Canis lupus familiaris: one gene and its partners. The protein of the gene in region 2 purifies or fractionates together with the protein of the main gene of each other region. This does not show direct contact. Links are inferred from orthologs where the notes say so. Each region holds a gene or a part of one and is shown on either strand. Other genes may lie near its edges.

Region 1 (4,472 bases), on a different chromosome or scaffold from region 2:
TGCACACAAAACCAGCTGGACTAGAAGTAGAGGTTGCAAACTAGTAGCCCATGAACAAGGGCATCAAATACATCTAGCATCCAAATACATGTGTGTGCAAACACATCTGTACAGGTTTAAAATCTGATATGAATGCTTTTGGCCAGGGCATGGCTTACCTAGAATAGAACATAAATTCTGTCCATCCTAATATCAACCAACGCTTATTTATAGAAATTACACTGGGGGCTCCTGGGGGGCCCAAGCAGTTAAGTGTCCAACTCTTGATTTCGGCGCAGGTCCTGAGATCAAGTTCTGCTTCTGGCTCTGCGCTCAGTGCCCAGCTGGCTTGCCATCCCCTCCCGACACCCTCCACTTGCTCTGACTCTAGCTCCTGCTCTCTAATAAAGAAATAAAATCAAAAAAAAAAGAAATGAATTACACTGGAGGATATCTAGCTTTATTTTCTACAGGAGAATAAGTTCAAATTTGTCCAAAGTTCAGATTTTCCTTTCAAAACTTGAAAAGCCTTGAAAATGTTTCTCATGTGTGAATCCATGAAATAACATTAATTAAAATTAGAAAACAGGAAATTAATCTGGGTGCCCTGCTAGTTCAGTCAGGACAACATGCAATTCTTGATCTCAGGGTTGTTAAGTTCAAGCCCCATATTGAGTGCAGAGATTACTTAAAAAATAAAATCCTAAAAAATAGAGAAAGAAAAGAGGAAGTAATCTTCAGTAAACCAGGATAGTAAAAAAAAAAAAAAAAAAAAAAAAGGATAGTAAAATAAATCAGGGGCGCCTGGCTGGCTCACTCAGTAGAGCATGTGACTCTTGATCTCAGGGTCCTGAGTCCAAGCCCCACACTGGGCATACAGTTTACTCAAAACAAAACAAACCTCAAACCCAATAAATAAATAAATCAGACCGGCTCTACTTCTAGACCCTCAATCAGAAATAAATTTAAAATATTAGTGTGAACTACTTCCCAGAATTACAAAAAGTTAAGACTCATGGCCTAATACAGAAACTCCTGAGATACTTTGTGGGGAAAACAAAAGCAACAACAAAAACCCGGGCGTTTCAGCAATATTTTTAAGAACCACAAAAACTTATCAGGGTTAAAGAATACTAGATAATTTAACAGAGGGAGTAAGAATTCTTATTTACAACAGATAGCTTCTAGTTCTGTTATCTTAAGAAATAATGCTATTCACTACTGGTTTAGAACCTGCAAAGCCAGAGAGAAGAAAAAAAACCGAATGAGTTTCGTCAACCCTTCTGGGAAAACAACTGGGTGAAATCTGTAGTGTTCCATCCCTGGTGATCCCTTAGCTGAAGCGGAGGCTGTAAAAAAGATGTTTAACCTCCTGAGAAGAGACATAATGCTGATCCGGATCCCCTCTACATTGTGCTGTGGGTCCCTCCCTCCCTCTCCACCCCCATTCTCTCTCTCTCTGGCTTTAGAAAAAGTAAAGCTGGCAGGGACAAATGGCTTCGTGTTGCTGGAGAGGAGGACACAATGACTCTTGCGGCCATCTAAGTGAGTCAGGGATTGGGAGAGAACTGAAAAAGGGCTATCAGAAGGAGCTGGATGAGCTAATGCCTACGGGCCCGGACACACACACACACACACACACACACACACACACACACACACACACACGGCTACCAGGCAAAAGAGGGGGGCGGGCGGGGCGGGGGCTACATCAACAGATCCTTACGTGCTCTGAAAAGAACCTCTTTGAGAATGAGGCTACAATCTTCCGGGCTTCTAACCCAGCTTTTTGCCGAACTTTATACTCCTCCAGCCAATTGACGTAGTCGGTGGGGCTGTAGTGTTTCATAAGGGAAGGCCACCTACAAGGAGAGAAACACCCTCTCAGCTTCACGGAGACACTGAAGGCGGCCTCGAGAAGCAGGGGCAGCAGGGGCCCCGGCGGGGGACCCAGCACGCGGCTCGCGGCATGACCTTGGGGGAAGCAGGCCGAGGAATGCGGAGTCTCCACTGCCCGTCTAGGAAATGGGGGCAGCTGCAGCCACAATAACAGTGACGACCGATCGCGCCTCCCGAGAGCCGGGCCCTGTGTCAACGCTCCTCACGCATCATCCGTGTAATGACCGCAGTGAAACACGGGTCTGGCGATCCCCGCGTAAAGTCGATGAACGAGGCTCCAAAGAAAGGGAAGTGCCCCCCCCCCCCCAAGGTCATCCGGCAAGTGTGCGGGAGCCGGATTTACCCGGGTCCCACCCCGAGGTCCGTGCTGCGGGCCCGCGGCCGGGATGCTGCGTCCGCCTCCCCGGCTGCGGGCGAGGACCCGGCGGCGCGGGATCCGTGTCGGCGCGCTGGCCCGGAGCCGGGCACAAAGGAGCGCTCAGGGCGGCGGGGCGGCGGTCCCCGCGGCGTCGCGGTGGGTGCACGGCGGGCCCGGGCCGCGCAATCCGGGCGGCGGCGGGGGGCGGCGGGGGCCGGCGGGGAGCCCCGGGCCCGGGGCCGGCGGCCTGGAGGCCTTTGTCTGCGGCCCGCCGAGGGGGTCGGCGCGGGCGGCGAGGCGGGGGCGCGGGCGGGCCGCGGCCGGGCCCGGGGGGGCGGGGGCGGGGGCGCGGGCGCGGGCGCGGGGGCGCGGGCGGCGGGCTCACCTCACCCGGAACTGCTCCTTCCACACCTTCCCGCTACTCTGGCACAGCTCGCGCAGCCGCCGGCAGGTGCTGGACACGCGGCCGATGTCGGCGGCCGTCAGCGAGCCGCTGCACAGGATGTACTCCAGCACCTCGCCGGGCAGGTTGACCAGACAGCTGAGGCCCGCCGCCTCGGGCGCGGCCTCCTCCGCCAGCGCCGGCACCACCTCCATCGCGCTGTCGACCGCTGCCGCCGCCATCTTGTCCGCGTACCTGGGCCCGCCGCGCGCGCGCGCCAGGGCGCCCCGCCTCGCCCCGCCCACCCGCCTCGAGGGGCGGGCTCGGGGGTAGCCCCGCCCCCTCCCCGTGGCCACGCCCCCTGGGCCCGGGCCGCGGCCGGCGGCTGGCGGCTGGCGGAGGGAAGCGCGTTCTTTCTGTTTTTTTTTAATTGGCGTTCGATTTGCCAACATATAGCACAACAGCCAGCGCTCATCCCGTCAACTGCCCCCCCCAGTGCCCGCCACCCGGTCACCCCCACCCCCGCCCGCCTCCCCTCCCACCACCCCTAGTTCGTTTCCCAGAGTTAGGAGTCCCTCATGTTCTGTCTCCCTTTCTGATATTTCCCACTCATTTTTTCTCCTTTCCCCTTTATTCCATTTCACTATGTTTTATATTCCCCAAATGAACGAGACCATATAATGTTTGTCCTTCTCCGACTGACTTACTTCACTCAGCATCATACCCTCCAGCTCCAGCCACGTCCAAGCAAATGTGGGTCTTTGTCGTTTCTCAAGGCTGAGGAATATCCCACTGTATACATAGACCACAGCTTCTTTATCCATCATCCTTCGATGGACACCGAGGCTCCTTCCACAGTTTGGCTATTGTGGCCATTGCTGCTAGAAACATCGGGTGCAGGGACCCCCGGGTGGCTCAGCAGGTAAAGTGCCTGCCTGCAGCCCGGGGCCTGATCCCGGAGGACGTCAGGCTCCCTGCATGGGGCCTGCTTCTCCCTCTGCCTGTGTCTCTGCCTCTCTCTCTGTCTGTTCTCTCATGAATGAATAAATAAAATCTTCAAAAAAAATAAAAAATAAACATCGGGTGCGGGTGTCCCGGCATTTCAGTGCATCTGTATCTTTGGGGTAAATCCCCAGCAGAGCCATTGCAAACTGTGGTGTGGCTCTGGGAGCTGCGAACCTGCGATCTTTTTCTTTTCTTTTCTTTTCTTTTTTTTAAGATTTTATTTATTTATTCATGATAGACCTAGAGAGAGAGAGGCAGAGAGACACAGGCAGAGGCAGAAGCAGGCTCCATGCCAGGAGCCCGACGCAGGATTCGAGCCCGGGACCCCAGGATGCGCCCTGGGCCAAAGGCAGGCGCCAAACCGCTGAGCCACCCAGGGATGCTGAGCCACCCAGGGATCCCCCCGAACCCGCGATCTTAACAGAATCCATCTTTCTTGTGCGTCCTCAGCACTTCCTGTGCATGAGCTCAGCGGTCCTTCCCAATATCCCTCTCAGCTCTTATCTCCCCAAATTACAGGTGGGGGAAACTGAGTTTCAGACAGATAAGCTTGCTCAGAATCCCGTGATCTAGGGATCCCTGGGTGGCGCAGCGGTTTAGTGCCTGCCTTTGGCCCAGGGCGCGATCCTGGAGATCCGGGATTGAGTCCCACGTCGGGCTCCCAGTGCATGGAGCCTGCTTCTCCCTCTGCCTGTGTCTCTGCCTCTCTCTCTCTCTCACTGTGTGCCTATCATAAATAAATAAAAATTAAAAAAAAAAAAAAAAAAAAAAAAGAATCCCGTGATCTAGATGTTAATTCAGAGCTCTTCGCGTCTGCTTGAGTGTGCTCTAAACAAGTGTGTCGTAATA
Region 2 (4,696 bases):
TCAAAAGACAACTGGGATACCAAGTTCCATGCTACTTTGGGGAGGCAAAAGGAAGGCATATCCCCTACCTTCAAGGAATTCATAGCCTGAAATGCATAAAGGCTGCAATGACAACACTAAGTTAATCACCTCTAGCAGACAATATTCAGCAAGAGGCAAAGGAGTCTTAGGGGCTGTGACATGGAAGCAGACTGCAGAACCAGTACAGCCATTCCTGTGTCCCTCTGGCCTCTTGATGTGGCCTCCCAGACATTAGGACTGAGAGACACGGCTGCAAGGACCTGAGCATGTGGCTGAGAGAGGGAGGGTATTCAAAATTAAAAGCCTAAGCCTGTCTACAGTGTCTCCTTTTTCTTTTCGGCAAAATCGTTTTTAAAAGACGGTGCCGACGAGGAAAAAAACGTCTAATATTTTCAGAGAGTAATTCTCTCAGACTTGATGCGCAGTCTCCCGAAACCTCCAAAAATGGGCACGGTGGGGTTTAAAGCTTGCGCGCTTGGGAACTGGAAATGCGGTGCTATTTGACTTAACGGGGAAAGCAACAAATAGCACTTCCACTTAAAAAAAAAAAAAAAAAAATCCTAATATCCAAGCACCCTTTTTTAAACAAAGAAAACCCAAAATTCCTTTTTCCACAAAACGGCTGGTTTTGCTTTTCAACATTTCCGCTCTCGCTACACAAAGCCATAAGCTCTCCAGCGTTTCAGAGAATCAGGTAGACAAGGGGGAGGAGGTGTTAAACTTAGAACTGCACACGCTGCGGCGGGGCGTTTTGGGAAAGGGTTAGGTCCCACACACTCAGGGCTCGAGGTAACAGCGAATTTAGTCGCCCTTCTGTCACTCCGCTAAGAGCGTTTCCAACAACAGCGTGGCCACTTACTCCACTCTTCACTTTGTCTCAAACGCCACACTCCAGGGAAGGGGCAATTACACGCAGCAGCAAATACAGGACTTGAGGACGCCGACTGCAATTCCGTATTTGCACACTTACCACCGCTAACCCCAAACTACGAACTAAAGAGCAACCGCCTCGTGATCCAATCGGAACAGAGAATCCTGTTTTTGGCAAAAGAGAGAGAGAGAGAGAGAGAGAGAGAGAGAAAACCCTCAACTTTGGGGCTCAAGTCTCCAGGAATGTTCCTCAAGCGCCTCCCTCTCCCTTTAACCATGTGGGCCACCGACCCCGGCGCGGCACAGGTGGGGGGGGGCGACCCCGCCCGCGCCGGGTTACCTGCGGGGTCAGCGCGCGCTCCCGCCGGGCGCAGGGCCGGGGGCGCGCCGAGGCCCGGCCCGACTCGCGGGCGCCGGGGGGGGGGGGGCACCGGGGGGCGCCGAGGGTCACCGGGGGCTCCGTCCCGCCGGCCGCCGCGCCCGCACCCGCGCGCCTCCCCGGGCCGAGCGGCGACTGTTGCCCAATAATCGCGACCTGCCCCGTCGCAACAATGCGGGGGGGACCCCGAGAGCAGAGCCCGGCTCCCCGGCTGCCCGGCTGCCCGGCTCCCCGGCGCGCGAGCCCTGCACTTTCTTGAGCGCGAGTCGGAGGGGGAAGCGCCGCGCGGGGGACTAGCGGCCCGGGGGGGGGGGATGGGGGCGAGCCCGGGCGCCCCGAGGGGCCGCCGCACGACAGGCCGGGCCCGGTCGCCGCCGGGGGAGAGGCCGGCGCCGCAAGGCCGGCGCCTCTGACGCTCAGACGCGATGAATCGGGCTTTTTTTTTTTTTTTTTAAATCCCCACCCCGCGCCCCAGTGCGTAGTCCAGGCCTGGCCGCACCGAGCCCGCGGCCCGCGCAGGCCGCAGCCGGCCGGGGTGACTCAGGCCCGGGCCCCGCTCGCTCCCCTCGCGCCCCGGCGTCCTCCGCCCACGAGTCCGCCGGCCCGGCCGCCATGCCGGCCCGCGGCGCCTCAGGCCTCGCCGGGCGCCTGTGCTCGGCCGCCGCGGCCCCGTCACTGCGACACCGCGGCTCCGGCCCGGGCCTGCGCCGCCGCCGCCGCCGCCGCCCGCCCCACCCGCCCCGGCCCCGGCCCCGGCCCCGGCCCCGGCCCCGGCCCCGGCCCCGCGCCGCCAGGCCGCCCGGCCGCCACTCACCCGCATCTCCCTGCGGCCTAGAGGGCTCGGCGACGCCTCCGCCTGGCCGCCGGGCCGGCCCCGGTCGCCTCCCCGTCCCGCCGACGTCTGGCCGCGTCCCTCAGCGCGGGGCCGCCCCGCCTGGAGCTGCGCGCGACACGGCGCCCGCCTCCCCCGCCTCCCCCTGCCCGCCGCCGCCGCCGCCGCCGCCGCCGCCCGCGCCGCGCAACCTCCGCCCTCTCGCCTCCCCTCCGCCGCTCCCCGCCCTCCCGGCCTCACCGGCTCCGGCTCCCGCGGGGGAGAGGCTGCGGGGGGAGGGCCGGAACGCGCCGCCATCGGCGTCCGGGGCGGGGGAGCCGGGAAACCGCCGCCGCCATCTCCTCACAAGCCCGCGGCGCGGGAGGGGCCCGGAAGCCTCCCCGCGGCGCGGCCCTGCCCTGCCCTGCCCTGCCCTGCCCTGCCCCCGGGGGCGCCCCCCCGCGCCCCCCGCGCCCCCGCGCCCCCGCGCCCCCGCGACCGGCCGGCTCCCTACCTGGACGCCCGCGGCCCCGATCCTCTCCGGGCGCCTCCCGAGACCCGGCTTCCCGCCACTTCGGACCTCACGAGGAGGGGTCACCTTTCTAGGTCACGGGGGGCGGGGAGGGCACCCGCGTCTGGAGGAGCGGCCCCGAAACACCCTCGAGGGGGGCCTTGCGCCTCCTGCCTCCGGGGGCGGGGGCTCCGAGCCCCGGGACACCTGCGGCCCTGCAGCCCGTACCTGAAAGCCTGGGCCCAGCGGGGCGCGCCCCGCTCCCGAGGGAGCCTCCCCCCGAGAGAAACGCGGCGAGGACGCTGCCCTGCGCTGAACGCTTCAGCCAACTCCGTTTGGGCCCGCGACGAGGAGACACCCATCAGGACGCGCGGGAGGCTCCCCAGGTGTGCGTGGTCGGCGGCGACCTCAGAGAAAACGTCTTCACGTGTCCCCTGGAGCCGCGAACGGCAGCCAGGTGACATCAACGGGCGCTCGGGGCCTCGGGGCCTCGGAACGACTCTAAAACACTAATTTCGGCAGCACAGCCAGCCGCCGGGCGCCTTCCGAGGGGGACAGAGGACGGGGCAAGCACGCTCGCCTGCGACGACCCCCGCCACGGACCAGGGAGCCGGCCCACCCCGCGAACACGCGAGGAAGGATTCCCAATTGGCCTATCTGGGCAAAAGATGTGGTGGATGTAACTTCCTGTTTTGCTTCAAACTAAAACAGAACAGGGATTCTGCTACGAGTACCTTGGGGTGCAAGCCCTAGGCCTACAGCACAAAGCTGCCCCCAGAGCCCACAGTTTATCCTCAGTAATAGGGGTTTTCCTTAGAAGAACCATCCCGCCGGTGCCATGTGGTTCCTTCTATCGAGATGTGGTCTCTGGGAACACCGAGGTGCCTTTGGAAGTACTGCACTTCCCCAAAGTGTGTAACCTCGGCCTGTGCAAGGGTGTCAAAATTCTTGGTTTATCTACTATCCTTATAAATAACCTAGTCAAAAGAACACTTACATCCATTTAGCCATGTTTCGTGGGCACATGGTAAGACTGGAAGTAAAAATGCAAGGCTTGTCCCCGTGGACAGTGCTTTCCACGACACATATATGGCTTCCCGTTTACAGCTTTCATTTCTTCCCTTTTCCCTTTTTACTGGAACCTGAGCTTTCCTCAGACAATAACCCATCTCATCCCCCATAACCTGTGTTCTTCAATATTCTCATTCCATACGGCCTCCTTGCCTGGCACCTCACACAACTAATGTACCAGCTGAGTGGGCCACCTCTCCCTTTACTGTGTATCCCATTCTCTGCTTTTCTTGGAGAGAAGTATTTCATCCACCCATACCACCCTCTCCGCTTCTCCCTGCCTTGGTCCAGGTTGTTGACTTCCTTCTGTCCTTTACTCTCTACCCATCCGCACTATCATTCTTAGCAGTTAGACTATTCCATTGGCTTTTATTGCCCCTTCACAACCAGGCTGCATCTACACCCCTCCTACTCTGGGCGTGTGACCTTGCCTTAGACCTAACAGATCAAGGCCATCTACTCTCTTTTCACTCCAAAAAATCCTTTCCCCATCTTCTCTACCCCCATCTTGGCAAAATTGATGTCCTCCTTTCAGATGACACGAAGTTTGGAGGGATGAATGACCTGGGTAGATGTCAGAATCAAAACTCAAAATAGTCTCAGACTAGAATATTAGGCCCAAACCAATGAAATAAAATATAACTTTTTACAATATAACCTTATGATATGATGAAGTTTTAGATTTAGGCAGACCCTGGTTTATATCCAGACTCAAACTATGTTTTCCTCTAGTTAAGTCAGCTGTTAGAATGGCGGTAAAAAGCCCTACCTCTTAAGGTTGTTGGAAAGAGTAATTCCTCTAAAATCCCAGCATAATTCCCAAACACTAAGTATTAGTTCCCTTTCTTTCCTTGTCTCCCATAAAGTATCTTCCATTTTCTAAATCCTGGGGGCCTGAAAACTCAAAATTCTGGCTCATTTACCTTGTACCCCAGAGCTGGTCACCACATCCTAGAGGAATCCTCTATTTTGGCTCAGTCTGTGAGGTCAGACATTATCATGATCATACCCATCTTCCAGTGAAGAATCCTAG
Region 3 (4,620 bases), on a different chromosome or scaffold from region 2:
CCTGAGGGCTGGGGGTCTGGAGCTGCCTAGCTGGAGGAGGGGAGGCTGGTGAGCAGCTGCTCCAGGCACCACTGGACTTCCTCCTGGCCTCGGTAGGCCCGCTTCAGGCCCCGAGGAAGGCAGCGGCAGGACTCCAGGTTGAGATAGAGCAGGCCTGGGCAGCTGCTGATGACAGAGCTGTGGGGGCAGGGCACACCATGGGGAGTCGAGCCGCTGGTTCCCAAAAGACCCAGGCCCCGCTGGGGCTTGGCCAAGGTAAGAAGCCCTCTCTGCCCAGGCGCCACACCTGGCTCTGCCACCCACAGCCACCGAGGCCCAAGCCCAGTACCCTTGGTGTCCCTAATGTCCATCCTAAACAGGAGCTTGGCCAACACGTGCTCCCCTTTTGTAAACTGAAACTTGCAAGCCGTACTGACTCCAAGAGACCGGGAATGGGGATGCTGACCTGACTGTGCTTGGTGTGACCCGAGTGCCCCTGAGGTTGACAGAGCATAGGGCTGGGTGTGAGCCCCCACGGGTGGCTGAGAAGGCAGCCAAGGCCTGCTCCAGGTCTTTCTCACTGAAGCCCTGGCCACTCAAGTCCAGTTCCCGCAGAGTGTGGCACCACTTCTGAGTCAACAGGTGGCTGCCCTCTTTGGCTAGAGTCAAGCGATCTGACGTGCCATAAAGACCCAAGTGAAGCTGTTCTAGCTCTGCAAGGGAAGAGTGGTCATGAGTCTTGGGGCGGCAAGGGTGCCCACATCCCTCCCGCCCAGCCACCATCCAGAGAAAGCTGACCCTGACACGGCAGATCGTGCAGGCCGGCAGGTGTGATGCGGGCACAGCCACGAAGATCCAGCAGGCGCAGGTTAGGGGAGCCGTGGAGCAGGCGGCCCAGGGCCTCGTTGCTTACAAAGTTGCAGGTGGAACCGGCGAGGCAGAGCTCCTCAAGGCTGGGGAAGCCTGGGCCAGGAGTCACCACTCGCCCGGAAGGCTTGGGCAGCCACATCAGGTTTAGGAGCCGCAGCACCTGGAGCGAGGCCCAGGCTGCAGACGGGAAGGGAGGGTGGCAGGTGGGAGAGGCGGGGTGTCAGGTACCTGCAGCTGGGGGCAGCCCTTCTGCAGCCCCTCAACAGGCAGCTGGAGAGGAGTGCTGCTGCGGTTGATGCCGGTGCTCACCTCCAGGACCTGGAGCTGGGGGCAACAGCTGCCCTGCAGAGATGGAGGAGAACAGATTCAGCGGCCTGGCTGTGCCGGGCTCAGCATCCCGCTCTGCTGCCGCCCATCACCAACCTACCAGAAGCGCACCCAGGATGGCTGTTGTCTGGGAGCTGTAGGTCAGCCACAACTTGCGCATTCGGGGCCCTGCCTCCTCCAAGAAGCTCACCACGGCTGTGGACTCCACCTGGGAACCCAGCACATGGGTACCCGTCCCTTTGGCCCAGGCTTCTTCAGGGCCCCTGGGGACACAGGGCTCACCATGGAGTGCTGTATGTCCAGGCTGTGGAGCTGAGGGCAGGCTTTGGCTAGCATAATCAGAGTGTCAGAGGTTACACCATGGCAATCGGAAAGCTTGAGGAAGGTGAGCCGAGGACAGGACTCGCTAACCAGCTGTGGAAGACAGAATACCACCAGAGATTGGGAGAGGTCATGTGTCCACAAAGGAAAAAACCAGTGGCCAACACCAAACCCTCACTACTGCCTCAGCTATGACCTCCTTTCTGCCCATGGCAGGCCAACATGGTGCTCCCAGTTCTGACACCTCCCTGCTGAAAGAAACAACAGGAAAGGAGGCCCAGGCAGGCATCCCCGTGGGGCAACACTGGGCTCCAGGTGCCTGACCACTTCCTGGAAGTACTGGGCAATCCCAAAATGTCATGGCTGGTGGGCAGGGCAGCCTGGAGCTCTCACCTTCAACACGGGGTGTACCTGGGACTTCCAGTGGATGAGGGTCAGCCTCTGGAGCTGCGAGAACCTGGGCCGACAGCAGAGGCAGAGCTGCACGGTGTTCCCACGCTGCCCGACAGCGGCGTCCCCACCCACCCCTTCCGCTAGGGAGACACACACAGCCGCTGGCTTTCTACCAGCCGCCGACAGGAAGCCAGGGAAGAAAGAAAAGAGAGAAGGTCTCACCGATTGGGCATAAGCCACTCCAGGGAGGCGAGAAGCTTCTTCTCGGCCTTGGCTTCACTCTTGGCGAGGCGGCCAGCCGGCGACGGTGACAGGGTCACGGTGTGCCAGAGCGCAGGCTGGGAGGCCGCCTGGTGCCAGCGGCGGCACACGCGAGCAGCCCTGGGAGGAGACCTGGGCTGAGGGGCTGCGACGAGACCGCGGTCCCCGTCGTCCTCACCAGGCTGCAGACAGCTCGGCTGCAGGGCCGGCCCTGGGCTCTCTGTGGACCCCCGAAAGGCTGCGCTCTGTCCCCCGCGGTGCCCCCGCCGCGGCCACCCGCCCGCTGGGCAAGAGGTCAGCTGGACCGTGCCGCTGCGCCCCCCGGGCCTGAGGTACCTGCCGAGGAAGGGCACGGGCCCATCGGCCGCCACCAGCAGCCCGAAGATCTGCAGGAGAATTTCCAGGGGGATGCGGTCGCCCCAGCCCGGGTCGGGCCCCGGCGGCGGCTCCGGGGCGGGCGCCATTCTAGGTCTGGCCTTGGCGCCCGGGGCGCGGGGCGCGGGGGCCGGCTGCCGCTGAGCGCGGCGGGCGGCGCGCCGGTGCACGCGGGGACGGGCAGGCCCCGGGCCCGGCAGCACCAGCAGCATGCTGTCCGACTGCAGCAGGTGGTACCCGGAGCCGCTCGGCGCCAGCTGGTCCCACCACCAGTCCTCGGCCGAGCGAGCCCGCTCCCCGGCCGGCTGCGCGCCCCGAACCCGGCGCCGGGCCCGTCGCGCCGCCCCGGCAGCCATAGCTCCCAGCAGAAGCCCCCTGCCGCCCCGGGGCGGCGGAAGGGGCGGGTCCCGCGGCGGAAGGGCGGGGCCTGGGCCGACACGCCCCGCGCCCGACTTCCGAGGCGGGACTTCCGGCTGCGGCCTCGCGGGAGGCCGAGGCGGGCTGCGCGGCCTGCGGCTTCCTGCGGTCTGGCTGTGGGGTGGGCGCTCGGTCCGGCGGGGCAGTGGTTCCCGGCCCCCGCCCCCGGCTCCGGGCCCGAGGCGCCGCCGGTGGAGCGTGGCGAGACGCCTGGCTGTCGGGGCGGGGGGCGCCCGGCAGCTCTGCGCCGCCCACCGGACGCCGCGAGGGGCGGTGCGGGGCCCGCCCCCTCCCGAGGACACGCCCCCGTCCGTGGACACGCCCCCTCCCCGCGGACCCGCCTTCGCTCCCGCCGGCCCGGGGCTCGCAGAAGCCTGGAACTCTCGCCGGGGCGGAGCGGCAGCCGAGGTGTGCGCGGCGCTGGGGATCCCCGTCCCGGGTCCGGGTCCGCCCCGGGGGCGGGCGGTGGTGGCCCGAGCAGCGCAGGCGGGGCGTGGGGCCCCCTCCCCGCGTGCTGCCGGGGCCCCGCGTGCTGCGCCTCCTGCCGCTAGCGCGTTCCGGGTGCGCCGCCCCGGCACCGTCGAGGCCCGCTGGCCCTGCTCGTCGCCGTGCAGGTCTGTCTGACGTGTGGCCCCGCGTCCGCGTCTGTTTTCTTCGAGGTGTCGGAGGCCTTGGGGTCGCGGCAGAGCCGGAGCGTGCGCTCGGGCCGAGGCGGGGACGGAGGAGCAGGCCGTGACCCTGGGCTGTGCTGCGGGGCCCAGCGCGGGCCGGATGGCAGCACCCCGGCTGGGCCGCCTCTTGTCGACACACCTGCTGGTGGCCCTCTTTGGCATGGGCTCTTGGGCTGCCATCAACGGGATCTGGGTGGAGCTGCCCGTGGTGGTGAAAGACCTTCCCGAGGGTGAGCGGGGCGTGCAGGGGGCGCGCAGGGGGCGGGGGTTGGCTGCCCTGAGCTGCCGCCTCTCACCGCTGCTCTCCCCTCCCCGCAGGTTGGAGTCTGCCGTCCTATCTGTCTGTGCTGGTGGCGCTGGGGAACCTGGGTCTGTTGTTGGTGACTCTGTGGAGGCGGCTGGCTCCGGGCAAGAGCGAGCGGGTCCCCATCCAGGTGGTACAGGCGCTGAGCGTTGTGGGCACAGCCCTGCTGGCCCCACTGTGGCACCACGTGGCCCCCATAGCGGGGCAGCTCCACTCCGTGGCCTTCCTGACGCTGGCCTCCGTGCTGGCCCTGGCCTGCTGTGCCTCTAATGTCACCTTCCTGCCCTTCCTGAGCCACCTGCCACCTCCCTTCCTGCGCTCCTTCTTCCTGGGTCAGGGCCTCAGCGCCCTGCTGCCCTGTGTGCTGGCCCTACTGCAAGGCGTAGGCCACCTCGAATGTCTGCCAGCTTCTTCCAATGGCACCCTCTGGCTCCCCAACGACTTCCCAGAGCGTTTTCCCGCCAGCACCTTTTTCTGGGTGCTGACCGCTCTTCTGGTCACTTCGGCTGCCGCCTTCCAGGGTCTGCTGCTGTTGTTGCCATCACCGCCATCTGCATCCACAGCAGGTCTGGGGTCTGACCTGCGGGTGAGGACCCCAGGAGTGGAGGAGGAGGAGGAGGAGGAAGAGGCTTCACCGCTGCAGGAGTCACCGAACCAAGCAGCAGGCGCCCCTCCCAGCCCAGACCCTGACGCCCATCGGCT

What was found. Proteins that work in one complex are often made in the same cells at the same time.
Region 1: the proteins of CUL1 (region 2) and FBXO21 purify together in Homo sapiens (affinity purification with mass spectrometry; 6 studies listed by BioGRID and IntAct, with this or other methods). This does not show direct contact. The link is inferred for Canis lupus familiaris from reciprocal best matches to the Homo sapiens genes CUL1 and FBXO21.
Region 3: the proteins of CUL1 (region 2) and FBXL6 purify together in Homo sapiens (affinity purification with mass spectrometry; 4 studies listed by BioGRID, with this or other methods). This does not show direct contact. The link is inferred for Canis lupus familiaris from reciprocal best matches to the Homo sapiens genes CUL1 and FBXL6.

What each region holds. Positions count from the first base shown.
Region 1 is NC_049247.1:14,101,465-14,105,936, forward strand, and holds the start of FBXO21 (F-box only protein 21), read right to left. Parts: upstream 2,883-4,472; 5' UTR 2,861-2,882; coding exon 2,622-2,860; intron 2,113-2,621; exon of another isoform or gene 1,954-2,112; intron 1,842-1,953; coding exon 1,706-1,841; intron 1-1,705. UniProt on the Homo sapiens protein: Substrate-recognition component of the SCF (SKP1-CUL1-F-box protein)-type E3 ubiquitin ligase complex.
Region 2 is NC_049237.1:1,740,594-1,745,289, forward strand, and holds the start of CUL1 (cullin-1), read right to left. Parts: upstream 2,863-4,696; 5' UTR 2,596-2,862; intron 2,468-2,595; exon of another isoform or gene 2,343-2,467; intron 2,325-2,342; exon of another isoform or gene 2,085-2,324; intron 1,057-2,084; exon of another isoform or gene 992-1,056; intron 1-991. UniProt on the Homo sapiens protein: Core component of multiple cullin-RING-based SCF (SKP1-CUL1-F-box protein) E3 ubiquitin-protein ligase complexes, which mediate the ubiquitination of proteins involved in cell cycle progression, signal transduction and transcription.
Region 3 is NC_049234.1:38,533,460-38,538,079, forward strand, and holds the start of FBXL6 (F-box/LRR-repeat protein 6), read right to left. Parts: upstream 2,883-4,620; coding exon 2,488-2,882; intron 2,272-2,487; coding exon 2,113-2,271; intron 1,955-2,112; coding exon 1,891-1,954; intron 1,591-1,890; coding exon 1,459-1,590; intron 1,385-1,458; coding exon 1,277-1,384; intron 1,192-1,276; coding exon 1,078-1,191; intron 1,010-1,077; coding exon 778-1,009; intron 693-777; coding exon 446-692; intron 178-445; coding exon 27-177; 3' UTR 1-26. Other genes in the region: SLC52A2 (solute carrier family 52, riboflavin transporter, member 2), read left to right, coding at 3,715-3,844, 3,933-4,620.